Linked DNA regions of Elephas maximus indicus. The main gene of each other region encodes a partner of the protein of the gene in region 2 in a complex. Links are inferred from orthologs where the notes say so. Each region holds a gene or a part of one and is shown on either strand. Other genes may lie near its edges.

Region 1 (7,474 bases), on a different chromosome or scaffold from region 2:
AGAGATGGACTTAAGACAAAATCTAATCTTGTATATTGAGTCCTGGCTCATTAATGTAACTGCCTCTAATCCTGCCTCATTAACATCATAGAGGTAAGATCTACAACACATAGGAAAATCACATCAAATGACAAAATGGTGTACAATCACACAATCCTGGGAATCATGGCCTAGCCAAGCTGACACTCATTTTGGGGCCACACAATTTAATCTGTAACAGGTACAGTTCAACTCTGACACCCATGAGGTCATCATGAGTCAGAATCAACTAGACAGCAACTGATTTATACCTGTGAATACAATTTAATATAATCATTTTCCATAATGTAATATAATGTAGTTAATCAATCCTTTGAGAACACAGTGTAGGGCATATCCTAAATCTAATCACTTCTGAGTTACAAAAGGAGCAGGTTAGACACAGATGCACACACAGAGGAAGACAGATGCCACGTGAGGATCGACTTCAAGCCAAGAAACCAAGAAATCGGTAGCCAGAGCTACCGATAAGGAATTGACATGGCCAAGACCCTGATTTGGACCGTTAGCCTCCAGAACTGTGAGAAAATAAATTTGTTTTCAAAGCAAAAAAAAAAAAAAAAGAGATACGATTATATATTTGTTATTTAATAAATATTCATGGAGCACTTGCTAATTCAGAAACTTTTCTAGGTGCTGAGAATGCAACAGTGGATAAAATAGACAAAAGCCCTATCCTCATGAACCCTGCATTTTGATGGAAAAGACAAAAAATAAAAAATATACTCAATGATTCCGATGATGACAAGTGCTATGAAGGAAGGATAACAGAATAAGGAGACAGAGAATGACTGGGGGTGTGTTATTTTATTCAGAGTGGCCAGGGAAATGCTCTCTGAGAAAGGTCACAATTGACCAGAGACCTGAACAAAGTGAGAGAGTGAGGCATTAGATGTCTGTGCAGAGTTCTAGGCAAACCAATGGCTCTGAGGTGGAAGTGTGCTTAGTGATTTTACAGGGAAAAATTAGTAAGGCCAGTGTCGCTGAAGAAGGGTGAACACTGAGAAAAATGGTGGGAAATAATACCTGAAAGAGAGCCAAGAAGTAAATTTTGAAGGGCCTCGTAGGCCATGGTGACTCCGTTGAATTTTATTCTAAATGAGATGGGAAGCCATTAAGAATTTTAGTAGAGAAGTGATAAAAATCTATCCTTTAAGACAGAATAGTAAATAGATTGTTGTTGTGAGCTGTCAAGTTGATTCCGATTCATAGTGACCCTATACGACAAAGTAGAACTGCCCCATACAGTTTCCTAGGCCGTAATCTTTATGTGAGCAAGTCGCCAAATCTTTTCTCCCATGGACTGGTAGGGTGGGTTCGAACCGAAGACCCCTTGGTTAGCAGCCCAGTGCTTAACCACTGCACCACCATGGCTCCTTAGTAAACAGAGTAAGAGGGGGGAAAAGTTAAATTGAGGAGACCAGTTAGGAAGCTATTTCAGAAGTCCAGGTGAGAGATAAATGTGGTGTGGGATATGATCATAGCAGTGGGATGGAGCAAACTAGTCAAATTTGGGACTTTATTAAAAAAAGAACACAAAATGCCAGTAGTTTGGATGTGGAATATGGAAGAAGCTGGAGTAAAGGATGACTTCTCATGTTTGAGCCTTTGCAATTGAGTGAATAGTTGTTGTTATGTGCCGTAAATTAGACTCCAACTCATAGTGACGTTCTGTAAAATGGAACTATATGTTGCCTGGTCCTGTGCCACCTTCACAATCGTTGCTATATTTGAGCCTATCCTTGCAGCCACTGTGTCAATCCATCTCACTGAGGGTCTTCCTCTTTTCACTGACCCTCTACTTTACCAAGCATGATGTACTTTCTCCAGGGATTGGTCCCTCCTCATGAAGTATCAAAAGTAAGCACTACAAAGTCTCACCATCCTCGCCTCTAAGGAGCGTTCTGGCTGTACTTCTTCCATGACAGATTTATTCATTCTTCGGCCAGTCCATGGTATATTCAATATTCTTCACCAACATCATAATTCAAATGTATCAATTCTTCAGTCATCATTTTTTACACTCCAGCTTTCTAAAGTGATTGAAAATACTATGGCTTGGGTCAGGTGCACCTTAGTCCTCAAGGTGACATCTTTACTTTCAAAGATTTTAAAGAGGTCTCCTGCAGCAGATTTAACCAATACGGTACATCGTTTGATTTCTTGACTGCTTCTTCCATGGATATTATTGTGGATCCAAGGAAAATGAAATCCTTGACAACCTCAATCTTTTCTCCCTTTATCATGATGTTGCTTACTGGTCCAGTTGTGAGGATTTTTGTTTTCTTTAGGTTAAGGTGTAATCCATACTGAAGGCTGTAGTCTTTGATCTTCATCCATAAGTGCTTTAAGTCCTCTTCCCTTTCAGCAAGCAAGATTGTGTCATCTGCTTACTGCAGCTTATTAATGAGTCTTCCTCCAATCCTGATGCCGGCAACCTTCTTCATAGAGTCCAGCTTCTCAAATTATTTGCTCAGCATACAGACTGAAAAAGTATGATGAAAGGATACAATCCTGATGCACAACTTTTCCAATTTTAAACCATACGGTATCCCCTTGTTCTATTTGAACAACTGCCTCTTGATCTGCGGAGAGGTTTCACATCAGCGTTCTGAAATTCCTATTCTTCACAATGTTATCCATAATTTGTTACAACCTACACAGTTGAATGCCTTCGCGTAGTCAATAAAGCACTGGTATACATCTTTCTAATATTCTTTACTTTCAGCTAAGATTCATCTGACATTAGCAATGATATCCCTCGTTTTACATCCTCTTTTGAATCTAGCTTGACTTTCTGGCAGTAAAGAGGTCTAATAATGTTGGTACGGGGGTCTAAAGCTCAGAGGTGAGGGTGTTGCCAGGGCCTGGATAATATCTGACCGAGAAGTATCTGAAGAACTGAATTCCAGAATAATCTAAATGACCAAATTGTGTCAAATGCTGCTAAGAGGAGTAGTAAAACGAGAACTGAGAATGGCCATTGAAGGTCATTAGTGTAGGTCACTGGTGACCTTGACAAGAACAATGTCAAGGGAAATGAGAAGAGCTTATTTGGGGTATGTTCAGAAATTATGGGTTATCTCAACAAATAAACTGAGATGAGGGAAAACTGAGATGGAGAAGGAACCTATAGATTAGAAGGAAATTAAAAGACACAGTCAATTACAAAAGGTGGACCTTATTTGGATCCTGAGATACTTGAAATTTGTATACTGGCCTCATATTTGATATTAAAGATTTATTGTTAGTTTATTCTTAAATGAGATAATGATACTGGTTATGTTAAGGAAATGAGTGTATATTTTTTGAAAATGCATGCTGAAATACAGATGAAATTACGGCTAGTAGTTATTCAGGGTAGTGCTGAGCATACAGAAATTGATTACACTATTCTCTCTGCTATTGTGTATATTAGAAATTCTTCACAGTAAGTTAAAAAAAAAGCAATGAATCTTATTTTTGAGGAGGTAAAACTGCTGCAAACTTTTATCAGAATGAATATTAATCTTATTTTTCACAAAAACATGCTGATTTTCATAAAAGCTACCCATTTGTTCTGCTCTGTTAAAATTCATCTCTACTTGTATTATTTGGTCCACAGCTCTTTCAAGACTCCCACAAATTTAGAAATTTGTGCCACTTCTTACAAAAATAACCTCTATAAGAAACCTTTAAGTCTGAGTCTTTTTTTTTTTTAACTTGGTAATTTGTTGCCTGGAAATATTAAATAGACCCTTCTGAATTCCTAAATGAAAATAAAAGTCAATGGATGATGAAGAATGAAGATTCACAACATGTAACTCCCAAGCATGTTAACAAATATACCCTTATTTAAAAGAATTATAAGTACCATATAGAGTCCAATATCATTTTTAGTCATTTTTTACGTTATATATATTAATACGTATTTATTTATATTTTATATATTTACACTATTTTGACGTGGGTTTAGAGTTTTGTTGATATAATTTTTTTAAAAATTTTACCTGTATTTTCTAGTTTTTATACAAACCATATGGATGCTTTGTTTAACTGTCTTAAGCACTTTAAAAAAATTAAAAGAAAAAAAGGAACGGAGCCATGAGCCTCTCTTTTTTATGACTGAAAATACACAGACCAGCAAGCTCACCTCCAACCCCTCCTAGCGGCTGTGCCTACTACGTGAGGCCGCGCAGGCGCAATAGCGACCTAGTGATCTGAGGCGGGACTAGAGTCTCGGGAAAAGACAGTCTTTTCCGCCAATCAGAGGACAGCGCCTAGGAGCTTCTTCCTGGGGAAGGAGAACGGAAATCGGATTTTGGTGGCAGTGGCTAAGGCGGCTACCGGTGTAAGCCCAGAGCTGAGGTTAGTGGATGGCGACGGCTTGGGGCTCCGGTCTGCGTGCGTTTCTTCTTCCGGACCCTACTCCTATTTCAGAGCTGGGCTGGGGTTGGGGGAGGCCTGGGGAGGCGCGCCGTCCGAGGGTGGCCCTCCTTTTTCTCCCCTTCCTTCGGAGAGCTCGGCCTCCCGACCCCCTGAGTGGACACCCGGCCGCAGGGTGCTGCCTGCGCAGCTGACTCGAGGCTTCGTCCGGGTGGGGAGACCGAGCCGCACTGAGGTTGAGAGCTTGGGTTCTAGGCCCCGCGCCGCCGGTTTTTTAAATTGTGTTGCCATGGGCGAATTATTTCTTCCCTCTGGCCCTTTGTCAAATGGAAAGAACCATCTCTGTCCTTCCCACATCAGGGAGCTAATAGAGGTCAGGGGGGCGATAGATCTCAAGGTTAATCGTCAGACTCGCCTGGAGAGGTTTTAAAAACGACTTTTCAGAGGCACTCTATAGACAAGCTGAATCAAATTCCTGGGGTGGGGGGGCCTGGAATACTTTTTTTTTTTAAGTCCCCAGAACGGAACAAACACTAAGAAGGTGGATGTTGAGTATGAACACCGGCTATGATGCGTGGCGCTGGTTTTACTAAAATGAGTAAAACACCATCATCAAAAAGCTCCATCTAAGAGGAAATGGAGAAATGAACACAATTTCTGTAATATATCAAGTCTCAGTGGTACAGTTAGAAGCTTCATAGCTTTGCTAATGAAGAGCTCTGCAACTAAAAGAATCTGGGATAAGAATAAGAATCCCCGCTCTGCCATTTACTAATGTTTGATCTGAGGCAAGTACTTTCCCACATTGAGCCCTGGGATCTTCATCATAGAATTATGAAAATTAAGTAAGGATATAAACAATGGTACCTGTCACGTAGTTGGCCTTTGGAAAATGGCGACTTAAATAGAGGAATGCTAATGGTGCTGGGGAATACATACAGGACAGGACTCCCAACCGAAAAAAGGTTTGTGTGGGGTGAAACCTGGGATGTCCAAAATGTTATTTTGAAGTACCGTATGGATGGTGATTTCCCTAGTTTGATCATTATGCTGTGGTTATAAAAGAACATTCTGGTTTTTGGGATACACACTGAAGTACTTTATGGGTAAAGGATGAGTAGCCGCTAAAGCAAATGAGGAGAATGTTAAAATTTGGGAAATCAGGATGAAGAATATGAGTTCTGAATTTGTTAAAATAAAGTTTTAAAAAGTTGATTTAACTGTTTGCAACTAAGTGTGTTGTAAATAATTGAAACAATATTTATAAATGCCCCCCCCAACCACACACATACTCACCCATTTTTTCTAAATGGCTGTAGAGTATTAGACATTGTATTTTATCCAGTCCTCATATTGATGAAGGCATAGGTTATTTTCAAATTTTCCTACTCTTCAAACAGTGCTATGTTAAACATCCTTGTACATGTTTTTGTGTACTTGTACCAGTATTTTTATAGGATAAATTTCTAGAAATGGGATTGTTGGTTTAAAGAATATCAGCATGTAAAATTTGGATATTGCCATTTTAAATTCCAAATACCTACTAGGTTCCTTTCCCATCAGCTGTGCCTGAAAATTCCCCGTATTCTCTTGGGTGGTATTGGCTTACCACTTAGGGGAGTCATGCAGTGGTAGTGATGATGGCTGCTTCCGTGAGAGCTGCAGTGAGTGGGTGCCCTCCACCTGAGAAGGCATACCTGCTGGGCCAGAATAGCTAAGGGACTGCTTCTAAAGTTGGGTGACCACTCTGAAGAAACTGAGAGTGTGACCTCTGCTGGAGCCTGCTATGTAGGAAGTGTTCAGACATTTGCTGAATGATGGGATATTTGAGATCTTTATAGTCCATTAAATGAAAAATAGCATTTTAAGTTTTGTTCTGAAAAATGTATGTCTGAACATTTTCCCACCTTTATTTGGCATTTTTCTCCTTCTCATCCTTTGTCTATTATTATTTTTTAGCATAGATTTTAAAAAACTCATTCAGTGGCTATTTTGATGATCAGGCATTTCCTAGGCACTGTTTGAGGTGCTGAGATAGAATTGTGAACAAGACAGGCAGAATTCCTGATACTATGGTGCTTTCCTTCTAGTGGGGATGGAGTCTGAAAATAAGTTTTAAAACATCAAAATAAAATGTTTAGTATTTACTGTTATGTATTGCAAACATTTTTCTCCCAGTTACTATCTTTTAAAAATTTGCTTACGATATATTTTCCTATGTGGAATTTTTAGTTTTGTTTTCTACTAAGATTGCAAGCAATACTAAGATGGAGGCAGTGTCTAGAAAAATGGTATAGTGTAGTATTTAAGAGTTTTAGGCTCTGGATCCTTACTCTGCTACTTGCTCAGTGACATTAGGCAAGTAGCTTAACTTTTCTGAGCCAGTTATCTCATTTCTAAAACTGAGGCAATAAGAGTACCTTTTGCAGATTTCTCACAACTATGAGAAAAATATTTAGAACAGTGTCTGGCATATAGTGTACGCTAAAATATTAGCTATCATTGTAATCATGTTGCCTGTATACTCATTTCATACAGAAAAATATTTGAGAAATGCGTACTCATTAAGGATGTTTGAGCCTACTCTCAAATTCCCATTGATTGGAGCCCTCTTGAAATGGATGGAGCTGCTCAAATATTTATAAAGGTCCTACCTGCAAGGCTGTGGACGTAATGAGAACTATGATTATCACAATCCTTCCCCTCCTGGAGTTTACAGTCTGATGGGAGAGAAAAACAGGATACTAGTACAGAGAATAAAAGAAGACCTACTGTTGATCTCGCTGTTTTGTGAAAAGGTGATAGTTTAAGCTAATGCCTGAAGCCAGCCCCATGCTAGGATCAGGCAGAAAAACATTCCAAGCAGAAAGAATAGCAAGTGGAAAGGCCAAAGGCAGAAGAGCGTGATACAATTAAATCTGAAAGAATGCTAGACTGAAGACAGTATTGCTAGTTCACTACAATAATAGACAAGATTATACTGGCTACTACAAAGAAGAACAGTAGTGAAAGCAAAAATATTCCTGGGAAAACTATTGTGTTCGGCCAGAAAGAATGGTGGCTTGGCCCA
Region 2 (7,828 bases):
TGCAATCCCTGTAGGCTTATAATCAGCCATCTCAGAAATGGAAAGGGGGGACCTCACTAACACAGAGAAGAGCCCAGAGTGGAGCATGTCCTTTGGGCCCAGGGTCCCTGTATTGAGAACCTCCTAGACCCAGGAGACGGAGAAGGAAGTCTGTAACACTAGAGACAACGTGAAGCAGCAACATAGAGACAGTGGCAGCAAAAGCAGGAGACCAGTGCAAGACAGACTTGTGGGTTTCCTGGCCCATGGACCAAGTTGGTTACAATAGGCTTGCCAGCCCAGACCAAGAGCCATGTGCCTTCGGGCAGGAGGGTTCCTGGCAGAGTGGAGTGCCTCCGTGCACTTACTGGGGAGCTAGAGCTTTGTAACACTTTCCCAAGCAGGGCAGAGGCCAGCCCAAGGGGCCTAGGGGCCAAAGGAGAGGCTTGCCTGCAGCCACCGCCAAGGAGCTGTCCTGACTGAAGAATTGTATCCTGAGTCTCCTGAGTCATTCCTGATCCTGAATTGTAACCTGTTATTTCCCTAATAAGGAGCCCTGGTGGCACAGTGGTTAAAGCACTCATCTGCTAACCAAAAGGTCAGTGGTTCAAACCCACTAGCCATTCTGCAGGAAAAAGATGTGGCTGTCTGCTTCTGTAAAGATTTACAGTCTTGGAAACCGTATTGGGCAGTTCCACTCTGTCCTATGGGGTCACTAAGTTGGAACAGACTCAACGGCAGTGGATTTTGGGTTTTTTTACTTCCTTATCAAACCCCATAATCCTGAGTACCGTCTGTGAGTTGTACGGTCATTGCAGCGAATCATCGAACCCAACAGAAAAGTACAGAGTGCCATGGGAGGCACAGCTGATGGAGGGAGGAGGTATGTCTGACCTCCCCTTACAGGAACTAGCCTTGGGCTGATGCTGATGATTCACCCTGCCATTGAAGTTAGACAAGGTCAGATGCCATCCACAGGCCACTTTTACAGAGTGTGAATGATATTTAATTTTCATGTCATCCCTATTAGAGATCTACGTCAGAAACGACAGAGACAGTATTTAGATGCCTACACAGCAGATTACATGACAGTGACTACTGTGAACATTACATGAGAGCTCAAAAATTTTGCCAGCAGGTTGCTGGAATTCCGCAGTGAGCTCACAAAGTATTTTTATTTGTTTAGACACTGTCTTCTAAGTTGACTGTGAAGAGTAGATATGTAACTAAGGTGTTTAGAAAGCACTTGTTATCTCCTGTTATGGTTGATAGTTGTCATCTGGTTAGACCCCAACTCATGGTGACACCGTACGTTACAGAGTAGAACTGCTCCACACGGATTTTCTTGGCTATAATCTGTCATCGATTCATTTAGTTATCAAAATGACCCTATGAAGTCGTGATAACCAGGCTCCAAGATAACCACGGACAATCCCCGCTCCTGGTATTCACGGCCTTGTGTAGTGCCCTCATTGGGTCTGAAAGGTTATACAGAGGTTTACTAGACGATCGAAGTATGAACTACATTCTGGGTATTCCTAGACAGTCAACGGGGCTGACTCGTGTGCCAAACAGAATTTGGCAGAAGTGACGGTACGTGATTTCTGACACTTTTTAGGCCTTGTGGCTCCCTCGTGATCTACGTTGGACTGCTCACTGTAGGGCAAACCAGCTGCCGTGCTGAGAAGATACTGAAGCAGCCATGTAAGGGAGCCATCTTGGAAGTGGTTCCTCCAGCCCCAGTTCAGCCTTCAAATGACTACAGCCCCAGCCAACATCTCAGCTACAACCTTATGAGAGACCCTGAACCAGAACCTCCCAGCTTGGCTGCTCCTATGTTCCTTGCTCACAGAAACTACATGAAATAATGTAATGAACATTCGTTGTTTGAAAACACTACATTCGGGGGTAATTTATTATAAAAAATCAAACTATTGCAGTTGAGTCAACTTCAACTCGTGGCGTCCCCAAACATTATAGAGTAGAACTGCCCCATAGGATTTTCTTGCCTGTAATCTTTATGGTATCAGATCACCAGACCTTTCTTCCGTGGTGCCACTGGGTGTGCTCAAACCACTAATATCCAGGTTAGTAGTTGAGCCCAAACCATTTGCACAACCCAGGGACCCTGATTCATTATGCAACAATGGCTAGGTACTACAACAAAAACTAACATAAGCATGATCAATGTCTCTGTTTTACAGATGGCCTACATCAAGCACAGCGGGAAAAGGGACTCCTGGGTCTGAGAGTTAGCTTGTAGTCTAACAGTATTCTAACCCAGGCTAACTCCAGAGTTTGCACTATGAACTATGAAAATCCACTCCAAACCACAGAAGGATCCACTTGGCCTAGCCCTGGGCCTCCTGCTATCAGGCTTCAATGTTGTTAGATGCTGTCCAGTAAATTCTAACTCTTAGTGACCCCATGTGACAGAGCAGAACTCCTGACAGGGTTTTCTAAGCTGTAATTTTTTTTTTTTTCCACTAATTTTGGGGGGAGCAGATTGCCAGGTCTTCCTCCCATGGAGCCACTGAGTAAGTTAAAAGTGCCAGCCTTTTGGTTAGCAGCCGAGTGCTTAACCATTGTGCCACTAGAGCCTCTTGACTTCAATGTACGCATCTGAAAAAGAGGCCTGGAGTAGACAGGAAACAGCGGGCAGTAAGGCAAGGGCACAGCTCAGTCACTGATGGAGTCTGAGGCAGATGCTAGAGCTCAACCAGACCTATCTCATCTGACTGGTTAAGTTTTTCCTGCTTTCAAACTGGATGACATACAGAACCTGCCACAGAAGTGACTTAGGGACAAAAACACACAAACGCCCTCACAGAGTCCTTTCAGCCACCCAGTGAGAGTGAATGGCTCCTGCAGCTCACACCCAAGCAACCATTCATTCACCCTTCCTCACAGGATTCCCCAAACTGCCCCAAGAAGGGAAGAAGCTCACTTAATGCCATCGAGCCAGGTGACAAACTCATAAGCGCTGCTGGTAGGAGCGTGACATTGTACGTAGGACTCGGGAGCACAGTCCACCGTGTTGAATACGACAAGGCTGTACTGGGTCCCCCCATACTGAGAGGAGAAGAGAAGAAACATTTAATCAGGGCCCCGCCCCCTCCTCCCTCGGACCCGGGAGTTTACGTCCCCGGGCCCCTCCTCCCTCAGAGCCCGGAGTCCCTGTCTCCCGGCCCCCTCCTCCCTCAGACCCCGCGGTCCCGAGACTCACGTCTCCACCAAAGTCCGTCTCCGCAGGAGGACCACCATTAAAATACCTGTCAGGGTCGGAAGTGAAAGGTCGGGGTCAGGCAAAAAGGTGAGGAAAACTAAAGTTGGAGGGCGGGGCCGCAGTCGCGGAAACCTCACTCACTCGATGGCCGGGAGCAGGTAGTGCTTGCGGAGGCCCTCGAAATAGGGCCCCAGGTTTGCCGTGCCTTCAATCACAAACACTACGTCGGCCACCAGGCCCCCGGCACGGGCCGGGCCCTCGGAACCGGGGACCATGCCCCGAGCAGCAGCCGCCACCGCCGCCGCAGCCGCCGCCACCTTCGCGGAATGGCCGGAAAAGCGCCTGCGCCGCGCGCGTCCCCGCGCGGGGCGGGCTCCCGCAGCTGCTGACGCCCCCGCGGCCATGTTTGTGCGGGGCATCCAGGACGCCTTTGCCCCATCTTTTTCCTTGCTTGTTCCCTCAGAATGGGAGACTCGGAAGAGGCTTAGTGAATTATTTCAGGAGCCTAATGCCGGAGATTGGATTATCGGCCGGGCCGAGGAGAGCTACACACATTCAAAGTGGCTATTCGCCGCCATCTTTGAGCGGGGCACCGCTGTTTACCACTCCGGTCAAAATCCGATTTGGCCAAGAGATTTGGTTGCTATGCAACTAGGCGGCACTTGTTTTCTAAAGGGAGATTAAGTTTCTATCTGGTGGATGGGGGGTTTGGGGAAAGGTCCAATCACATCGCTGGAAACAAGGTTGCTAGGCAATCATTTAAGGTTGCAGTCAACTTGGAAAGGAGTGCAGCTGTTACCCCCCGCCCCCCAAACTAATTCCAACTCAAGTAGAGGTTGGTAGGCAACACTTAATGGATGTTTTCTGGGAGAGGGCCCAGAAACTGACCAAAGACATAAATACATTCCAGGTGGATTAAAAATCTGAATAAATGAAACCATGAAAACATACGAAGTAAAACAGAAGCACACTGTGTAATCTTGAAAACTGGAAAAGAGTTTCATGGCAGGTGTCATGGACTGAACTGTGTCCCCCAAAAATACCTGTCGATTTAGCTGGGCCATAAGTCTCAGTATTGTGTGATTGTCCACCATTTTATGTGCTTTTCTTATGCGTTGTAAATCCTATCACTATGATGTAATATAAAATGGATTAGCAGCAGTTATATTGATGAGGTCTACAAGATTAGGTAGTGTCTTAAACCAATCTTTTTTGAGATATAAAAGAGAGAAGTGAGCAGAGAGACATGGGAGCCTCGTACCACCAAGAAACAAGTGCTGGGAGCAGAGGGCCTCAGGTTCGTGTGCTGAGATGCTCCCAAAGCAAGGGAAGACGATGAAAAGGACCTTCCTCCAGAGCTAACAGAGAAAGAAAGCTTTCCTCTGGAGCTGGCACCCTGAATTTGGGCTTCTAGCTTACTGGACTGTGAGAAAATAAACTTCTCTTTGTTAAAGCCATCCACTTGTGATATTTCTGTTATAGCAGCACTAGATGACCCAGAGAGCAGGCAAAACCAGAAAACTTAAATACTGATAAATTTGTCCACAAAAGACTCCATAACTAAATTGAAAGATAGACCATAAACTGGGAAAATATTTGTAACATGTGTATCGACAGAAATTTACTATGCACAAAAAAAATATTAGAATTTAAAAAAATAGAGATACTTTGTCATTTAAAACACGGGGAAGAGTCCGACCAGTCTTTTCAAAGAGAAAAATTAAAACGGGCCAGTAAGTATATGAAAACTCATCTCCACTAATTCAAAAGTGCTAACGGAAAGTCCAGGGACATAACAGTTTATGATTTTCATGTTAATAAATATTTAAAAGAACAATAATGTCTATGCAGGCAGGAGGGTTTGGTGAAATGAGAAGTCTCATGCATTATCACCTTGCTCCAGTGCAGTTTGGCAGTGTATTTTCAAGCCATAAAAGGTGAATTCCTTTTGAACACAGCAGTAGCAGCATTTTGCCACATTTACTTTATTGGTCTCTTTTTCTTTTATTTTCTTAACTGAAGTCATTTAAGGAAATCCCTAAAGTCATATCATTTTTACCTCTACATGTTTAGCAGGCATCTAAAAATTTATGGACATTTCTTACATAACCACTGTGCCATTATCACTCCTAACAAAATGAAGTTAGTTCTTAGTATTATCTAACATCAAATCTGTAATCAAATTTCCCCAATTCTCTCAAAATGACTTTTTAGAACTGTTTTGTTTTAACCAGGATTCAAACAAGGACCACACACACAAGTATTAGACATTTTTAATCTAGCAAAGATCCCCCCTCCCTATTTTATGCCAGTGTAACTAAATTTTTAATGATTTTTGAAAGAAAATAAGATTAACAGAGAAAGGAAAAATGGCCAACAGGTTAGAATAATATTAAAATGGTAACTCAAATTCTGCCCTGTTAACTATAAGGAAACTTTCATTTTGATGAGCTGAATGCTTGAGTTGATTGGTTTTTAAGCAATTCTATTTTTGTATTAGGAATAGTAAAATATAAATTAGATAACTTAAACTGGACTTCAGCTTCTGGAATTATGATGGCATAGGTGTGCTAACATTTTCTGAGGCACTGCTTTCATAAGAGGTAGGGATAGCCTTCAGGGATTCCCTCCCTTCTGCCCCCCCCCCCCCCAAAAAAACAGGACCAGAAAATTACAAAAAGGAAAGAGTTCGGGGGAAGAACTGCATGCACCAGGAAGGGACTGTGTTGGCATTGCCAACAGCATGGGGACAGTTGTGAATTGAAAAACATGAGTCTGGTTCTCCAGCTAAGCCAGGACCTTCCAGGGCAGCTGAAGCAATTACGGGTTGGTGTCACTCCTGGCAACCTACAGAAGTAGAAGTAAATAATCCCCTCAGGACTCAAGTCAATATCAAGTAGTGAGTTCACAAGCAAAGACCACCAGCTCAGTGGTGAGGACTATATGTTAGAATCCACAGAAACCACCCTTGATAGACACAGACCCCCAAAGACTCCTGTTACTGGAATTGTCAGGCTCACAATGTACCATAATGTGAAATATGGTGGAAGAAATAACGGACATTAAATTGCCTTGTGCTATAACAAATTATCCCAAAACTTTGTGGATTATTACAGCAACATTAATCATTTCAGTTTTTGTAAATCAGGCTTAGCTGGGTCTTGGGCTTCAGAGTCTCTCACAGGCTGTAACCAAATTGTTGGCTGGGGTGCAATCATCTCAGTGCTCAACTAGGGAAGGAGCTGCTTCCATGCTCACTCATGTAGTTATTGGCAGGATTCAATTCTTCACAGGCTGTTGGTGGAGGCCACCTCAGTTCCTTGGCACATAGGCCTCCTCACTGGGAGCTCACAAGGAAGCTTGCTGCATCAGAGTGAGCATGCAAGAGAGCAAGAGAAAGTGCCGGGAAGAGAGCAAATCCAAGCAAGACAAAATTCATAGATTTTAGAACCTAATCGACTCGACGGCACTGGGTTTTAATCTCAGAAGTGCCATTCCATCAATTTTGCCATATTTGGTTTGTTAGAAGCAAGTCACAGGTCCATCTACACACAAAGGAGAGGGGGTGTGTGATGGCTAATGTTATGTATCAACTTGACTACACTATTACAGTACAGTGAATTACTTAATATGGCCCATCTAGCCATAGCCTTTTTAACTTCAACCAAATGACTGGGTAGGACTATGCAAATGAGGTGCTTTGACCCACTAAGGGGATTGGATAATGTACATAATGTGCACGGCACCCTCGTGGGGGTAAAAAAAAAAAAAATGCAAATAAACTGTATGGAACCAAACAAAGGGATTGGTCAGTTTTGCCATCCCACTGGGACCATCCAGATGTGAGAAGAGAGGATCTCAACACCACCAAGAAAGAAAAGGCAGAAGTGGAGCATGCCCTTTGGACCCATGATCCCTGCACTGAGAACCTCCTACCTCCAGGAGACAGAGAGAGGAGCTATAACATGGAAGAGACAGGGAAAAGGCACAAATCAGAAGACGGGCATGAGGAGGCTGCGGTGGGGCTTCCCGGCACACAGGGCAAGAAAGCCCAGCACCCTCGGGCACTTATCAGCAGAGCTAAAAGAACTTTGTAACACTTTGTCCAAGCAGGGCAGAGGCCAAGGGGCCAGAGAGAGGTGTGCCTGCAGCAGGGCTGAGAAGAAGCTGTCCTAGTGGAAGAACTGTATCCTGAGCATTTCTGAACCTGAATTGTAACCTGATACTTCTCTCATAAACCCCGTAATAGTGAGTATTGTCTGAGTTCTGTGTGGCCATTGTAACAAATGATCAAACCCAGCAGAGAAGCAGAGAGTGCCTTGGGAGGGATGGTTGGTGTCAGAATTGGTAAAAAGGTTGGAGAGGGGGATGCAGACCCCATATTCTCATAAGACCAGACTTAATGGTCTGACTGAGACTGGAGGGACCCCGGCGGTCATGGCCCCCAGACCTTCTGTTGCCCCAGGACAGGAACCATTCCCGAAGCCAACTCTTCAGACATGGATTGGACTGGACAACGGGTTGGAGAAGGATGCTGGTGAGGAGTGACCTTCTTGGATCAGGTGGACACTTGAGACTATGTTGGCATCTCCTGCCTGGAGGGGAGATGAGAGGGTGGAGAGG
Region 3 (8,333 bases), on a different chromosome or scaffold from region 2:
TCCCCACGGAGGCCAGGAGCAGCAGTGGGGCACCCGAAAGCTGCATGGCTGTATGGTTGCGTGGCAGCTCCACGTGCGTATCTCTTGTCACCTCCCAAAGTCTATGGGGCCATCCCACCTAGTGGCTGAGGGGAGAGCAGGGGGAGGTTGTTGGCTGCCCTCAGGCCCCCGGGGCTCCCCTGCTTAGCTGAGGCTGAGGCGTCTGTGGTGCTGTTTGATCTGTCCCCCTTGGTGGGACTGGCTCCTTCCTTCTGCCTTCCATTCTGTAAAGCTCTTAGGAGAGAGAGGCTGGGACAGAGAAGCCCTTCACCCCAGCATCCCAGTGTGCCGTCACCTAGGACCTGCGTGAGCATCCTTAGGAATACAGAGCCGAGCCTGGCCTCCTAATGGTGCAGTTGGATCAGTGAAGGAGCAAGCCATGTTCTCCATGGGGCTGACTCCCAGCAGAGGAGATGCCAGGGTTAGGTCCTGCCAGGAAGGGCTGCTCAGACTTAAGTGGTGGCAGGGCCAAGCCACCACTGTCCCGTCCCAAGGCTTTGTAGCCCGACACCCATCTGCTCTGTGGGGCACAGCTAGTGCCAAACCTGCCTGGTCCCCTTGTCCTCTGGGCCTGGCCTAGGAGCCATTTGCAGAGTCTCCACGGCGGTGGTGGAAGTCCCTGGGCCAGGTCTGATTCTCAGTTGCGTGCCCTCCTGGGGGTTGTAGATGCCCATGGGAAGCAGATGGCCCATGGAGAGGAAGCGCTTCGTAAGTGCTCAGTGGCTGGCGTTCTTCCTCTTGCAGCCCTGGATGGAAGAGCTGGCTCCCCACAGGGTGTGAGGCTCGGTGGGGCCTCTGGGGAGGAAGGCGCCTGGATGAGGAGTGGGGGTTGGAGCCGCTTGAGGAAGACCTGCTCCCTGCACTGCTGTGGGGCCTGGCCAAGGGGGGATCAGGAGGATGGGCCTGTGCTCCCTCAGGGCCTGTGGGCAGATGTAAAAACATTGTCGGGTAGCATCTGACCTCCTGTCTCTTCACAAGGGGGAGGGAGAATCGAGATCAACAGCACAAGGCTGATTCCTATGAGGTGGAGATCAGACATGTGCCTCTCTCTGCCTTCTTTACCAATTCTGATGGCACACGCTACTGCTCGGCTGAGTTCGATAATTCATTGCAGTGGCCACACACAACTCAGACAGTGCTCATGATGATGGGGTTTATCAGGGAAGTAACAGGTTATAATTCACATTCAGGAATGCCCAGGATACAGTTTTTCCATCAGGACAGCTTCTTCCCAGACGTGCTCCCGGGCATGCCTGTCTCTGACCCTTTGCCTCTGCCCTGCTTAGGCAAGTGTTACAAGCTCTTTTAGGTCAGCCAGTAAGCGCCCAGAGGCACCCCACTCTGCCAGTAAGCCTCCACCCAAAGGGTTCAGCTCTAGCTTTGTGTATCAGCAAACCTAGCTTCACCAAGTGTTCGAAGGCTTCCTCCAGGAAGCCTCCTGCCTGAAGGCACTCAGCTTTCTAGCTCTGTTGGCCAGGAAGCCCCCCACACAATCCCCTGCTGCTGGTCTTCCCTGCCGCTGTTTCTCTGCCGCTGCTTCTCACCGTCTTCCATGTTACAGTTTGCTTTCTCTCTCTCCTGGTTCCAGGATCTTTTCAGCGCAGGGATCCTGGGTCCAAAAGACAGGCTCCACTCTTGACTGTTCTTCCCTGGTGGCAGTGGGATCCTCTCTTTCATGCCTCTGGGATGGCTCATTTTAAGCTTACCAGGCTAGCAAAACTGACCAATCCCTTTGGTGGGCCACAGTTACCTTTTTTGCACAGTCCCACCCAATCACTTGGATGGGAGTTACCAAGACCATGGCGAGAAAGGCTACATAAAAGTAATCCATCACACTGCAGTGGGGTTGGTCAGAAGCAGGGTCTGTGGGGACACAGAGGGGCACCTTTACTGGACCACCACCTCTGGTGCCACGTGTGGCGGGTTTGGGTTGGACAGAGAGCTGGTTTGCTGGTGAACTTCAAGTTAAATGGTCTTTGTAAATTCTAGCCTAAACCATGCTGCATGAAACCACGAAGCTGGTTTACACGCTGGGCTGCCCTGGCTTGTCTGCTGCCCCTACCGCCTGGAGCCCACAGGGCCAGCAGGTGGGGGCTAGAGGACATGAGCTGGGCTGGGGATGTGCTGGGGCTCCACAGGGGGATAGGCTGGGTAGAGGTCGGGGCTAGGGTGCTCCCCGACCCCATCTTTAAACTTGGAGCCTTGGGGTGCCTACAGCCCCTGCCAAGATGGCAACACCCAGCCTCCCTCTTCGGAGACAGGCCTAAGACCAGCACAGGTGCTGCCGAGCCTGGAAGCCACCAGCTCAGGGAGGCTGGGAGCTCTGTGACCAGTGCTTTTCCCTGGGGTGATGTGGCGTCACTGTGGCCTAGTGGCACCAGATCCCCGCATCCACCTGGTGAAGCCTCAGACATGGCTTGTGGCGAGGGAGGCCTGCCGCCTCCAGCAAGACAAGCCACCTGCCCCAATGCCAATATCCTTGTCTGTCAAGTGGGTGTGAGGGTGATGAGGAAAGGGCTTAGCCCCTGGAGCCCCACAAGGATGGCTGCTGCTCCTCCCCCACCCCACCCCACCCACTCCTGCCCATGGGCCGGGGTCCCCCTTCCCAGTGCATCTGCACACCTGCTGTCAGTTCCCGGAGGTGGGGCTTTCTGCAGGGGGCCTTTTGGGTGTGGAGGGGGCGGTGAGAGTGCATGTCTATGCAGACATAAGAGCCCTATCTCTCGGTTCCTGTTTCAGACCGACCCAGAAATCCCCCTATGTGGGGGCTGCTTTCAGTGTTGGGGTCTGTCCCAGCCCCTGGGGCCAGGCTCTGGGCGGATGATCTGACTTGGGAAGCAGAGGTGTGAGACCTGTGGTGAGGGTTAGCTGCGGACTTGCTCAGGCGGGGTTTGTTTTGGTGGCACATCACTTGCGTTGCTGTGGGCAGGGTTTCTCAGTGCAGCCCGCCTCCTGGTCCCGGGATTTCAGAGGGAGCAGCTCCTTGGGTTCGGGATCCTGGGCTTGGCGGAGGCCAACAGGACCCTGGATTTTTATGCAAGTGTTGTCGTTGGCAGGGGCCAGGACCTCCTGGGATGGGCAGGGCTGGAGCAGCAGTCACCCTTTCCCTGCGTCCTGTCTTCCAGCAGAGCAGGGTGGATGGACATAAGTGAGTGGGGCAGGCAGAACTGTGCTCCAGTCATTATGCCCATCTGGCTGCAGGCTCAGACCTGGCTGGTGTGTTTCCTATTCTTTAGGAAAACTGTTTGGCATGTGGTTTCCAGAAGTTTATTTGACTGGGACATGTCCTGGGGAGAAGTCCAGAGGGGCAGGGCCTGACTAAGGCAGCAGAACCACTAGAAACCCCCTAAGGGCCACACTGTTATAAAGAGCCGGATCGGAGGGACGGAAGTGTACAGAGACCGTGGTCTGTGGGGACCAGGGCAGGCAGGGTGCCAGCTCCTCACCTTCATTCCCCAGCCTTGCCCACTTCCCCATTTGGTAGGTCAGTTGCCCTCTACCCCATCGCTTGTGGAGACAGACCCTGTATTCTGTCCCCCTTCTTTCAGCTGAAGCTTCCTACCCTGCCCTCTTCATGACCTCCCTGTCCTGCCCTCAGCCTGACAGTTGGCCTGCCCTGAGTGGTCTGGGTGGGGCCCTCCCTGCAGTGCCTTGAGCGCCCCCCAGGGCCTCCCCGTAAGGGTGGTGGAAGGGCAGAGGGCCGTCCCCATCTCAGTCCCCTGGGGCCCAGCCCCACTTGGTGCTGCCCATGCCTCTGGGGAAGGCTCCTCCACTATGTGGCATTGCCAGGAACCCCCACCCCAGCAGGCCCCATGCACGGACTGCAAGCTGTGGGAGGCTCTGGTGGGGGAGGGCCTCAAGCCAGACCCTTCTCCGGGCAGCCTCCCAGTGTACTCAGCGGGGTCTGCTTTGGTCCTGGGGCGGGGGAAGGGGGCAGCTGCATATATTGGGACTGCCAGGCTGGTGCTCCCACGCTCCTCCGTGTCTCACCATCAAGCAGGCAAAAGGCCATCCAGACAAGCAAGGCAGGACGTCTCTCCTGTCCCAGGCCCTGCTGGCCTGGATGCTGAGAGCAGAGCTCAGGGGATCAGGCCAGCTGATCCTGAACTTCCAGGCAGCCACAGCCCCCGACTCCTCAGTGCCAGCACCCCAAACACATCATAAGAGCTGAAGGCCTTTGCTCTGCCCGAGTACAAGGGCACAAGAGCACGTAGTCGCTGCCTAGCTCCACTGCCTATTACCTGACCTTCACCCCCACGGCTCCCAGCTGTCCTGCACCAGTTCCAGCCATTTTCAACGTGCTCGCCTGCTTTGCCCAGGTGTTCTGCCTCCTTGCCCGTCTGGCAGCAGGAAGACATCCACCCAAAGACAAGGACACTCTGTGCCGCCGGCTGGCTGTGCCTGGGCAGTAGTGCTTGCCCTGCGGGACCTGGCTCTAAATATACCCGTGTGAGGTCACCAGGATGGGACCCGTCAGTGCCAGACCCAGTCTCTGCTCGCTGCCCATTGAGGCATCTCACCTCAGATCACCTCCCGCTGATGCCCCTTAGATATGCTCACAGACATGGCCCCACAAGGAAAGTTGCAGGGTAGTCTCACCTAGGAGCACATGGGCCGTGGGTGGAAGGGCAGCTTGGCAAGTGGCCTCTCAGTTGGCTGTGGTCGCTGGGCACCTTTACACCTGGAGGGGACACCAACACCCTGGTGCAGAAACACATACAGTTGGCAGGCTAACTCCCCAAGACACCTGTGTCCTGGTCCTGGGAGCCAGGCATGCGGCTCCTCCCGTGGTAGGAGGCTATGGGGATGTACTGAGATGGAGAGAGGAGCTGAGATCATCCCAGCAGGTCGGAGAGACGAAGCAAGGACTTGGCTACACTGCTAGATTGAAGATGCAGGAAGGGCCAGGCTGAGGAATGGGGCCACATCCAGAAGCTGAACACGGCCTTCAAGGGACAGCCAGTGAGAAAACGGGGACCTCAGCCCAACAGCCACAGGCGCTGAATCCCTCCACCACCTGACTGAGCAGGGACTCAGACCCTCCCTCCGACCCTGCAGGTCCGGCTCTGCCCGCCACACCTGCCTCCAGCAGGTGAGACCCTCACCCACTTCTGTCTGCCCAACCGAGAGAGAATAAACGCACGTTGTTTAAGCCACTAATGTGTGATGGTTTTGGCAGTGACAAAAAACCCACAGCACACGGTCCTGTGAGGACAGGGTTGGCAGGGGGGACAGGCTGATGGCCAGCCCCACCTGACGGGATGTGTTTCTCTGCTTACGCTTGGTCAACCCAGGTCACGGCTGGGGAAAGCCATCACTGCGACCTCATCTGTAGTGGCTGCGGAAGTGCACCCAGGTGTCCCTGGGATGAAGAAGGGCTGGGCCAGGTGTCTGCGCATGCTGATGTACGCAAGGAATGCTTCTGGAGTCACACAAGGCGATGCTGAAGTGGCTGTGGGCAGAGTACACTTCACTGTGTGCCCTTTAATGCCACTTTAATTTGTACGACCCAACTGTAGCTGAAAACAAATTCAAGTGATTGGGGGTGGGGAGTGCTGTGCTCACTGCTACTCACAGGGGTGCAGCGGGGGCCTCCTGCGACCACGCCCTGCCCCCAACAAGCCCTCTTGGCCCTGCCACAAGCCCCCAGAAGCCTATAGCTGCTGGGGTTATTGTTGAGTCTGTGGGAACTTTTTATATAGTGTGGATCCAAGTCTTTCACCGGGTACTTGTTTTGTCAGCGTTTTTCCCCCAGGCTGTGGCTTGCCTGCTCACTAACAGTAGTTTTTACCAAGCAGAGCTTTCTAATTTTGATAAAGTCTAGTTTGTCAGTATTTTCTTCCTACAGTCGGTGCTTTGGGGCCCCTGAGAAGTCTTTGTGTACCCCAAGGCTGCAAAGATGTTCTCCTATGCTGCTTCTATGATGCTTTTAGAGTTTTAACTTTTACATTTGAATTTGTGTTCATTCCTAATTACTGTTTGGTGTTTGATGTAAATGGAATCAGACAGTGTGTATTTTTGTGACTTTTCACTCAGCATTGTTTACGATTCATCCTTGTTGACGCAGCTGTGGCTCGCTCATTCCCATTGCTGGGCACACTTCCTCTCAAGTCAATGTAGTCGAGTCCTTCAGCTCTCGGTTACCCTGTGTTGTGATCCTGACCCCTTGTGGTCATTGTGGCTGCAGTGTCATGGGTCTTCTCGTTCACGTCTCTCAACCCACAGAGTAGCCATTCTCCTCAGGGGCAAGGTCCTGGTCGCGATCAGGGCTTTGGAGGAGACAGCGGCCTTTCTGGACACGTTGTTTCTGTCTGCAAGATGGGAGGGTGGTTATGACTGAAGGAGTTAACACAGGTCAAGGGCTTTGAGCGGGCCGGCAGACAGCAAGCATGGGGCAGGGATAGACTCACTGGGGCCTGGGGTCTGTGCGTGCTCAACTTCACCAGGTAAACCCACGCTGGTTCCTGAGGCTGGCTGCACCCCTACGACCAGGTATCCCAGACACCACTTCTACCAGGTTCCTGTGTATCTGTAGTGGTCTTAATTTGCACTTTCCTGATTAATAGGGAGTAAGCCTTAGCTTATTGGTGTTGAAATGTTTTGATCCTGTTTTAAGAAATGTTTTGAGACAAGTTAATGGAAATGAAACAACTAGAACAGAAATAACAAGAATGTTGGCACAGTGTGAAGAACATAACAGTGTCATTGGTCATTATGTTTACAAACTGGAGTGAGAGCATGTATATTGTTCTCACCAAAAATATTAATTAAAATGAAAAAAAAAATTTTTTTTTTTTTTTTTAAGATCAAATTCACCACTTTAGGCCTATAAAAGTACAATTCACTGGGCTTTAGTCCATTCATAGTGTTGTGCAGCCATCACCACGATCTAGTTCTCAAACAGTCAGACACTCCAAGGAGAAACACTCTCCCTCCTCCTCCTCCCCTCTCAGCCCCACAGCCCCCACTCCACATCCATCTCTGTGGATTTGCCTCTGTAGTCTGGGCAGTTCATGTAATCTGTCCGCCTCTTCGTGAGGTCGCATGTCCCTGCGGCTCGTGTTTTCACACTGTCTTGGTCTCTTTGGAAGGTCTGGATTTCAGTATGATCACAGTGATCGGTTTATTGCACATTGATCATTTCCTTTAGGCTTTGTGCCAAATCAGATGGCACACGCAGGCTGTGTACGTGATAACTGCATGCAGGCAGGGGTGTGTCTGGGTCCCAGTAAGCCAACCAGGTAGAAGCTCAGAGGGGGGGTGCGGGGGGGGCCATGTTAGCCCCTAGGGGCAGGTAGGGGCTTGGGCGCTGCCAGCTCTGCTTGCCCTGAGCTGGGGTAGGGGAACAGGGGCAGGCACTGACAGCGGCTCTTGTCTTACAGATCCGGAACATGGTGGCGGTGCTGGAAGTCATCTCCAGTCTGGAGAAATACCCCATTACCAAAGAGGCACTGGAGGTGGGTGCTGCTGCTGTCCTGGGGATGCGGGAGCAGGGGCGCTGTGGCAGGGCACAGGTTCCCCACTGTATCCTCCCTGGCGTGCCCGAGCCCCTAGGTCTCTACCCATGAGTTAGGAGGTTTGTAGAATGTGCCTTACTGGCCTTAAGAGGACTGAGCGAGGTGCCATCCTGTCAGAAGCCTCAGGGTGCCGGTGTGCTCCAAGACCGAGTTGTCACATAAAGCACTGCAGGAACTGGGTGCTCTCACCGGAGATAGGTGGGGCAGATCCTGGCCCATGTGAACTGCACACCTGGGGTAGTCCTCTGCTCATTGGAGGCCCTTGCCTGGAGGACTAGGTCCTTGGGTGGCCGTGGCTTTGCCATCCATAGCCTGTGGGCCCCAGGGAGCAGGGCTGGAGGTAGAGCTGTCGCAGAGCTCTCATGTTGGGAGGCCTCTCCCGGGCCAGGAACCCCGCCCCTCACCACCCACTCTGTTGCAGGAGACACGGCTGGGGAAGCTTATCAACGACGTCCGCAAGAAGACCAAGAACGAGGAGCTCGCCAAGCGGGCCAAGAAGCTGCTGCGGAGCTGGCAGAAGCTCATTGAACCTGTGCACCAGGGTGAGGCGGCGCTGCGGGGGCTGCCTGGCACCGCCGGCTCTGCCAACGGGGGCGCTCACAACTGCCGGCCAGAGGCGGGGGCAGCCGTCGGGCCCCGGAGCATCCGTGACCTAAAGAGCCGCAATGACATCCAGAGGCTGCCTGGTCAGCGGCTGGACAGGCCGGGCAGCCGCAAGCGCCGGGGAGACCAGCGTGACCTTGGCCACCCTGGGCCACCACCCAAGGCCAGCAAGAC
Region 4 (7,600 bases), on a different chromosome or scaffold from region 2:
GGAGGGTTCAATAAATTTCTGGTGCTCTGCCCTCGGGCTGGGCGGCTTTTTCTTTGGGTGGTGTGTGTGCTGGTCACTGAGGGCTGCAGGCCTGGCGGGATGAGATTCCCTGATAAGAATGCTATCCCTGTAGAAGGTACTCATGGGAACCCTGTTGGGTGCTGCCAGGCCGTTAATCTCTTGAGTACCCCCGGTTCGAATCCCACCTCTGCCTCTTTTCAGCTGTGTGACCTTGGATGCGTCACTAACCTCTCTGTGCCTCAGTTTCCCCATGTGATAAACAGGGTCGGCAGGAGGATTATGTGAGATAATTGATGCAGGTAAAACCCTGGCTCAGGGCAAGTAATACCATGCTCAGAAATCTATTTAGCTGCACTTCCTGGCCTGGGTTATTTGTTTCCCACCAATGGTAATTTTGTATCCCCCTGCTCACAGTGTTTTTGTTTTGGAAGCTCAGACGCCAGGGAGGTGGCAGGAGGGGCCTGTGAATGCCATTCCTCTGGTCACTGGATCCATTTCCCAATGACTATTTTCTGAGCCTTTTTTTTTTTTTTATTGTGCTTTAAGTCAAAGCTTACAAATCAAGTCAGTCTCTCATACAAAAATTTGTGAACACCTTGCTATATACTCCTAGTTGCTCTCGCCCTAATAAGACAGCACACTCCTTCCCCCCACTCTGTATTTTCATGTCCAGTCGGTTTCTGACCCCCTCCGGCCTCTCATCTCCCCTCCACACAGGAGCTGCCCACATAGTCTCATGCGTCTACTCGATCCAAGAAGCTCACTCTTCACCAGTATCATTTTCTACCCCGTAGTCCAGTCCAATCCCTGTATGAAGAGTTGGCTTTGGGAATGCTTCCTGTCTTGGGCTAACAGAAGGTCTGGGGACCATAACCTCTGGGGTCTTTCTAGTCTCAGTCAGACCATTAAGTCTGGTCTTTTACGAGAATTTGGGGTCTGCATCTCCTGTTCTGAGCCATTTTGAGAGGGAGGTTCGGGCCTGGAGTCTGTCACCCTCAGTTGTTCGGCTCCGGGAACGGGGACTTTCTGCACAGTCATGGCACCATCCTCCCTTGAGGACTTTAATCTTGATCCAGTGTGGCCTTCGGATATTCAGACCCTTAAAGAAAGATAGCCTTTTTACTTTAGAACAGCAACAGCGTCAGATTTACAGTCACCGGGAAGACAGTTCAGAGAGCCCCATCCACCACATGCCTGCTTTCCCCTTTTTGAACGTCTCACATCAGTGTGGCCATTTGTCACAATAATGAACAATATCAATACTGGGGAGTCTTTGGGTGACAGCTTGATGCCTAACTGACAGGTTGGCGGTTCAAACCCACTGTCTTAGCTATCTAGTGCTGCTGTAACAGAAATACAAGTGGATGGCTTCAACAAACAGGAAGTTTTGTTGTCTCACAGTCTAGGAGGGTAGAAGTCCAAATTCAGGGTACCAGTTCCAGGGGAAGCCTTCTCTGTCAGCTCTGGAGGAAGGTCCTGTCATCAATCTTCCCGCAGTCTTGGAGCTTCTCAGGCTCAGGGACCCTGGGTCCAAACGACGCTCTCTGCTCCCAGTGTTGCTCTCTTGGTGGTATGCGGTCCCCCTGTCTCTGTTCACTTCTCTTTTATATCTCAAAAGAGATTGGTTCAAGACACAACCCAATCCTGCAGATTGAGTCCTGCCTCATTAACGTAACCGTGCTAATCCCATTTCATCAACATCATAAAACCAAACCCATTACCGTGGAGTCTATTCTGACTCATAGTGACCCTATAGGACAGGGTAGAACTGCCCTGTGGAGTTTCCAAAGAGCGCCTAGTGGATTTGAACTGCCAACCTTTTGGTAAACATCCATAGCACTTAACCGCTATGCCACCAGGGTTTCTGTTATAGAGACAGGATTCACAACACATGGAAAATCACGTCAGACGACAAAATGGACAATCACACAATACTGGGAATCACGGCCCAGCCAAGTTGACAGACATTTTGGGGGCACGCAATTCAATCCATGGCACCCACCTAGAGGCCCCTAGGAAGAAAGGCCTGGTTATCTGCTTCTGAAAGGTCACACCCTTGAAAACCCTATTGACTCAGTTCTGCTCTGCACACATGGGAACGCCATGCTTTGAAATCGACTGGCTGCCAAACGACAACACTGATACATTATCATGAACTAAGGTCCACACTTTATTCAAATTTCTTTCGTTTTTCCCTGATTTCCTGTTTCTGGGACCCACGGGACCTTTAGTTCTCGCATCTCTTCAGGCTCCTCTAGGCAGCGACAGTTTCTCAGACTTTCCCTGTTTTTGAGACTTTGATGGTTTTAAAGGGTGTTACTGAGGAGTTTTGTGGGAGGCCCCTTGATTGGGGTTTGGCGCTTTTCTCATGAGGAGACTGAGGCTGTGGGTTTTGGGGAGGAAACCCCAGGGGTGAGGTGCCCTCCCCATCTCACCATATCAGGGTGCATACAGTCCACATGAACCGTCACTGTGACATTGACCTTGCTCACCTGGCTCAGGTGAGTTGTCAGGTGTCTGCACTGTGAAGTGAGCCCTTTCCCCCCTTTCCAAGCTGTGCCCTTTGGAAGGACATCACTATGCACCCACACTTAGGGGTGGGCGTAAGGCTGGAGAATCTACACAGAGTATTTTGAATTCTGCAGGGAGATCTCTGTTCTCCCTCTATTAATTTATCTGTCTTAGTCATCTAATGCTGCTATAACAGAAATACCACAAGTGGATAGCTTTTAACAGAGAATTTTATTTTCTCACAGTCTAGTAGGTTACAAGTCCAAATTCAGGGCGTCGGCTCCAGAGGAAGGCCTTCTGTCTGTCAGCCCTGGAGGAAGATCCTTTGTCCTCAATCTTCCCTGGTCCAGGAGCTTCTCAGGCACAGGGACCCCGTGTCCAAAGGACACGCTCTGCTCCTGGTGCAGCTTTCTTGGTGGTTTGAGGTCCCCAACTCTCTGCTTGCTTCCCTTTCTTTTTATCTCTTGAGAGATGAAAGGTGGTTCAGACCAGGGAAACTCCCTTTACATTGGATCTAGGTGGTGACCTGAGAGAGGGTGGTGTTGCAATTCCACCCTAATCCTCTTAACGTAAAATTACAATCACAAAAATGGAGGACAACCACACACGGCCTAACCAAGTTTATACACAGATTCTGGGGGGGACATAATTCAGTCGGTGACATTATCCAATCATCTATTTATAACACTATGAACTCAAGGGGGATCACTTTAAATTTTGGATTATAATCCCATACTACTTTATTTTGTTGCTTAAGCGATTCCACTTCAGCCCTGGGGAGCTCTTCGGTTGTCTCCTGCGTCCTTTCGACCTACCCCATCATGTGGGGGGGTTATTTACCGAGTTATTTCCTTATTTTCTGGCACATTTTGTATACTTCTGCACCCTCCTAGAATCGGCCATTTCTCCAAGGAGCCCGGTTCTAACTATCGGAGCGTGATTTGGGGAACCAAGATCTGGGCGCTGGGCGTGCGCGATTCCATTTTAACACACGTTTAAAACGTTTTCAAGACAGATGTTGAAAATGGAAATCCAAACGTTGGGTAGAGGTGGTGCGTGCCCAGTGCGGGGTTCAAAAGACCCGGCTGGACTGACCGGCGCGAGGGTCACTATCCGGGAAGTGGTTCCCAGAGGGCAAGCCTTGGGGATTAAGGTACGGGCTGCGGAGTTGGGGTGCTCCCCAGGGTTGGGGTGCGCTAGAAGCGTTGCCTGCAACTTTAGAACGTTTTCTTCGGTAGCCCAAGAGGGGCAGTGCTGGCGGGGGGAAAAGAATGAGATTTTGGAAAAGAAATCAGGTTTGGAACCGGCAGTTCCCCCCACGGGACAAGCCTTGGAGCTTCAGTTTACCCTCCAATGAAGATTGGAAATAAGAACCAAAATATGGAACGCTTCACGAATTTGCGTGTCATCCTTGCGCAGGGGCCATGCTAATCTTCTCTGTATCGTTCCAATTTTAGTATATGTGCTGCCGAAGCGAGCACGGTTACCACGCTAGTCCGTCCCATATTTATAGTATCTCCTGTTCATCTCTTTACAGTAAAGGTCACTCTTTTTTTAAGGTTAGCAATCTATAAATCCTTTATATGACATTAGTACAACACATGGAGTAATAACAAAAAATTTTAAGAATAACTGCCGTGGAGAAAGTCCCCTAGTTGTTCTACCAACTAGAACTGCGATGGCTGCTGGGAAGATTTCCATGTAAATAAGCCACCGCATGCAAATTATGGCGCTGGGGCGGGGCCGTCCCAGAAGTCTCTGCGAAGCTGCGACGCCGCGCAGGCGACTCTTTGGTCCCGGGTAATATGGCGGCGCCGGAGCCCGCGGGTTAACGCGAGTGCGGGCCGTGGCCGCCCGATCGGCTTGGCGCACGGGCTGGCCAGGTGAGCGCGGCGCTGCGCGGGCCCGGCGGGGGCGTCCGGCGTCCGGACGTTGCTCGCGGCCCCGGGGAGCGCGGGCCAGAATAGGTGGAACCGGCGGGGGCGGGGCCTCGAGGGCCACCGTTCCGGGGGCGGGGCCTGCAGGGCCGGGGGGCGGGGTCTGGGAGCAAAGGGTGCTGGGTACGCGGCCAGCGCGCCGGGGGCGGGCCCAGGGGCTGTTACGGGAACTTGGGGTGGAGCCTGAGGTCCGCGGGGGTCAGGGCCTGGGGGCCGTGGGGGAATCGGGGCGAGGACTGCAGAGCAAATGCTGATGAGGGCGGGGCCCGCGGGTCAGGGGCGGGGCCCGCGGGTCAGGGGGCGGGGCCCGCGGGTCAGGGGGCGGGGCCGGGGAGGACGGGGCTGGTGGGCGGCCTGGTCGGGGACACGTTGGGGTGGGGTCCCCGGGAGGAGCCTGGGGAGACTTTGGGGTGAGCCCGACTCCGCGGTGTCACCAATCAGGGTCCTCCGTGTGCTGCCCTCGCCTCCCGCGGGCTCCTGCGGACAGCCGTCGGGCTCCTGTTTTTTGATTTTTTCCAGCCACGGCCCTCCAGGGCCCCGGGGCGAGTCCTCCTCGTCCACAGCCTGCCTGTGGGCCCCCTGCCCTTCCCTCCTCCTTCCTCTTGCTCACTCCCTGCTCACTCGCTGTAGCCACAGCCATGCTGCTGCCTTTCTCCAACTCGCCAGGCTTGGTCCTGCCTCAGGGCCTTTGCACGTCCTGTTCCCTTCCCTGGAGGCTCTTCCTCCAGATGTCTCCTGCCTCCCTCCTTCACCCCTGTGCTCACATATCGCTTCCCCACTTAAAGCTGCAGATCCTCCCACCACACACACACAGTGCCCAGGGCAAGGATTTGATCTGCTTTGTTTACTCCTGCGGTATGTCTAGGGTCCAGAGTGCCACTTGGCACACTGCAGGCGCCAACATCAATGACAAGCCCTCCCTCCTTCAGGAGCTAGTGACATCCGTGCTGTGTGGCAGGTGGCATAATGGACCTGGCTTACGTCTGCGAGTGGGAAAAATGGCCCAGGAGCACCCTCTGCCCTTCCGTGCCCCTGGCTTGCGCCTGGTCTTGCCGCAACCTCATTGCCTTCACCACGGACCTGCGGAACGATGATCAAGGTGCGCTGGCCGCACCACAGTAGTGCCCCTGGAGTCCTGGGGAGCCAGCACCGTGGGGCTCAGTCTCAGGCCTGTCTAGGACCCCGGTTCCACCCCTCACCCAGTGGGCAGCCTGGCCATTCACCCTGCCCCCTTGTCTATAACCTGGGGGCAGTGGGATCTCCAACCTCACAGGGATTCAGGGGGTGAACATGGAGACCTCTCATGCCTGGAACCTGCAAGGTGCTTGGGTTCACTCCCACGGGATTGAGTGGGGACGGGGGGTGGTGGGTCACTGAGGCGTATCTGGAGACTCACTCGCCCCATTTTCCATTCGGTCTTTGAACATATGGGTCACTGTTTGGCTTTTGAAAATCTCTGAAGTACACAGTGCCCAGGTCTCTCTCTGCCATCGTCTGCATAATATGTGCTCGTTAGAGAGAATTAGAAAAGCACAGAAAACTAGAACTAGGAAAAAGAACCACCTGTTACCTTCCACGGACAAGTGCTTACTGTTAGCGTTTTGGGTTCATTTTCTCCCATTTTTGTTTTCTGTGCCTTTTGTGAGAACGTGGTTGTAATTACATTGGCAGTGGTGTGTTCCCTGCCTGCCTCTCTCCTCTGGCGGGGTCACACACGCGCCTCACTGTGTCACCGTTGTCCTCAACGTGATTGATGGCAGCTCCACAGCTTCCCTGTGAATGGGGTCTTTGGTGGGCTGCTCAGTTGAGCCTGCCTGGGGTCCTCAGGGTGCTCCTTCAGGGCCATGCTGACGGTGCTCCGTACCACTTCCGGGCCATGCTGACCGTGCTCCGTCCCACAGACCTGACTCGTATGATCCATATCCTGGACACGGAACACCCCTGGGAGGTGCACTCCATTGACTCGGAGCACCGTGAGGCCATCACCTGCCTCGAGTGGGACCAGTCAGGTGAGGAACGGGCCCCGGGTTGGGCTGCGACATGCTCACATCTCCAACTGTAGAGTTGGGACTTGGACCTCCTGCCATCAGTCTCTCCTGCTCACTGTGTCCAGAGACGTTTCCTGAGCGCACCTCAGGCCTCCCGACTGCTGGGCCTTTGCCCAGGCCACGCCTTCCACTGGGCACTCCTCTCATACCGTCTGTACCCTCGAAACCTGTCCCCCCTTCCCAGGCCCCTTGGGAGTTTGCCCCTGCCTTCTGGGGAAGGTTTGTGATGCAGCTTTGTCCCCACAGGCTCCCGGCTCCTCTCGGCCGATGCTGACGGCCAGATCAAGTGCTGGGGCATGGCAGACCACCTGGCCAATAGCTGGGAGAGCCCAGTGGGCAGCCTGGTGGAGGGGGACCCCATCGTGGCCCTGTCCTGGCTACACAATGGAGTGAAGCTGGCCCTCCATGTGGAAAAGGTGAGTGGCCCACCTGAGTGAGTAGGTTGGTGGGTGAGATCTTGCCATCCTACCCATTCACCTGGCCACCTGTCTCCCCGTCTCCCACCACCACCATTGTCCCCTGATTTCTTGAGCCCTGGGCCTGGTTCACACCTGGGATGAGCACCTGGTTGTCAGTGGGGCTTGAAACGGGTTCTGCCTGGTTCAGTCATGGCCAAGGAAGCGTCACTGGAACAGTCCCAAATTTTTAAAGTTATGGTGTATCAGAAAGATAGCTGGAGCAGGAGCAGTTATTGGCCAAAGTCCTGTGTTTTGGTCATCTAGTGCCGATATAACAGAAATACCACAAGTGCATGGCTTTAACAAAGAGAAGTTTGTGTTCTTACAGTCCAGTAGACTGGAAGTCCGAACTCAGGGCACCGGCCCCGGGGGAAGGCTTTCTTTCTCTGTTGGCTTTGGAGGAAGAACCTTGCCATCAGTCTTCTCTTGATCTAGGAGCGTGGCAGTGCGGGAATCTCAGGCCCAGAGGACATACTCTGCTCCCTGTGCTGCTTCCTTGGGGGTCCCCATGTCCCTCTGCTCGCTTCTCTCTTTTATATGTCAAAAGAGATTAGTGTAAGACACTATCTAATCTTGTGTTGTTGTCATCAGGTGCTGTTGAGTCAGTTCTAGCTCTTAGTGACGA

Evidence for each region.
Region 1: MED25 (region 2) and MED7 share a complex: the UniProt entries of both Homo sapiens proteins name them as parts of the mediator complex. The link is inferred for Elephas maximus indicus from reciprocal best matches to the Homo sapiens genes MED25 and MED7.
Region 3: MED25 (region 2) and MED26 share a complex: the UniProt entries of both Homo sapiens proteins name them as parts of the mediator complex. The link is inferred for Elephas maximus indicus from reciprocal best matches to the Homo sapiens genes MED25 and MED26.
Region 4: the proteins of MED25 (region 2) and MED16 are in contact, whole or in part, in a cryo-EM structure (PDB 7EMF), measured with the Homo sapiens proteins. The link is inferred for Elephas maximus indicus from reciprocal best matches to the Homo sapiens genes MED25 and MED16. Residues at the interface, in NP_112235.2 of Homo sapiens: Ala26, Asn27, Gly29, Pro30, Tyr31, Val74, Asp75, Cys76, Ala77, Pro78, Glu79, Val82, Cys84, His85, Pro87, Lys102, Phe103, Met104, Gly105, Gly106, Gly107, Gly108, Glu109, Thr120, Gln123, Leu124, Asp127, Phe128, Tyr151, Leu152; in NP_005472.2 of Homo sapiens: Cys41, Arg42, Ser92, Ser94, His113, Arg161, Lys163, Phe171, Gly172, Gly173, Lys174, Pro195, Gly485, Tyr486, Ala516, Ala517, Gln520, Val521, Thr524, Arg525, Ile554, Ala555, Ser558, Lys561, Ser562, Leu563, Leu564, Arg565, Pro566, His567.

What each region holds. Positions count from the first base shown.
Region 1 is NC_064820.1:173,622,783-173,630,256, reverse strand, and holds the start of MED7 (mediator of RNA polymerase II transcription subunit 7), read left to right. Parts: upstream 1-4,300; 5' UTR 4,301-4,386; intron 4,387-7,474. UniProt on the Homo sapiens protein: Component of the Mediator complex, a coactivator involved in the regulated transcription of nearly all RNA polymerase II-dependent genes.
Region 2 is NC_064829.1:100,254,867-100,262,694, reverse strand, and holds the start of MED25 (mediator of RNA polymerase II transcription subunit 25), read right to left. Parts: upstream 3,525-7,828; 5' UTR 3,481-3,524; coding exon 3,347-3,480; intron 3,252-3,346; coding exon 3,206-3,251; intron 3,052-3,205; coding exon 2,927-3,051; intron 1-2,926. UniProt on the Homo sapiens protein: Component of the Mediator complex, a coactivator involved in the regulated transcription of nearly all RNA polymerase II-dependent genes.
Region 3 is NC_064821.1:36,782,372-36,790,704, reverse strand, and holds the start of MED26 (mediator of RNA polymerase II transcription subunit 26), read left to right. Parts: upstream 1-5,260; 5' UTR 5,261-5,300; coding exon 5,301-5,444; intron 5,445-7,421; coding exon 7,422-7,496; intron 7,497-7,977; coding exon 7,978-8,333. UniProt on the Homo sapiens protein: Component of the Mediator complex, a coactivator involved in the regulated transcription of nearly all RNA polymerase II-dependent genes.
Region 4 is NC_064821.1:625,888-633,487, reverse strand, and holds the start of MED16 (mediator of RNA polymerase II transcription subunit 16), read left to right. Parts: upstream 1-4,298; 5' UTR 4,299-4,415; intron 4,416-5,398; exon of another isoform or gene 5,399-5,427; 5' UTR 5,428-5,435; coding exon 5,436-5,568; intron 5,569-6,370; coding exon 6,371-6,478; intron 6,479-6,763; coding exon 6,764-6,933; intron 6,934-7,600. UniProt on the Homo sapiens protein: Component of the Mediator complex, a coactivator involved in the regulated transcription of nearly all RNA polymerase II-dependent genes.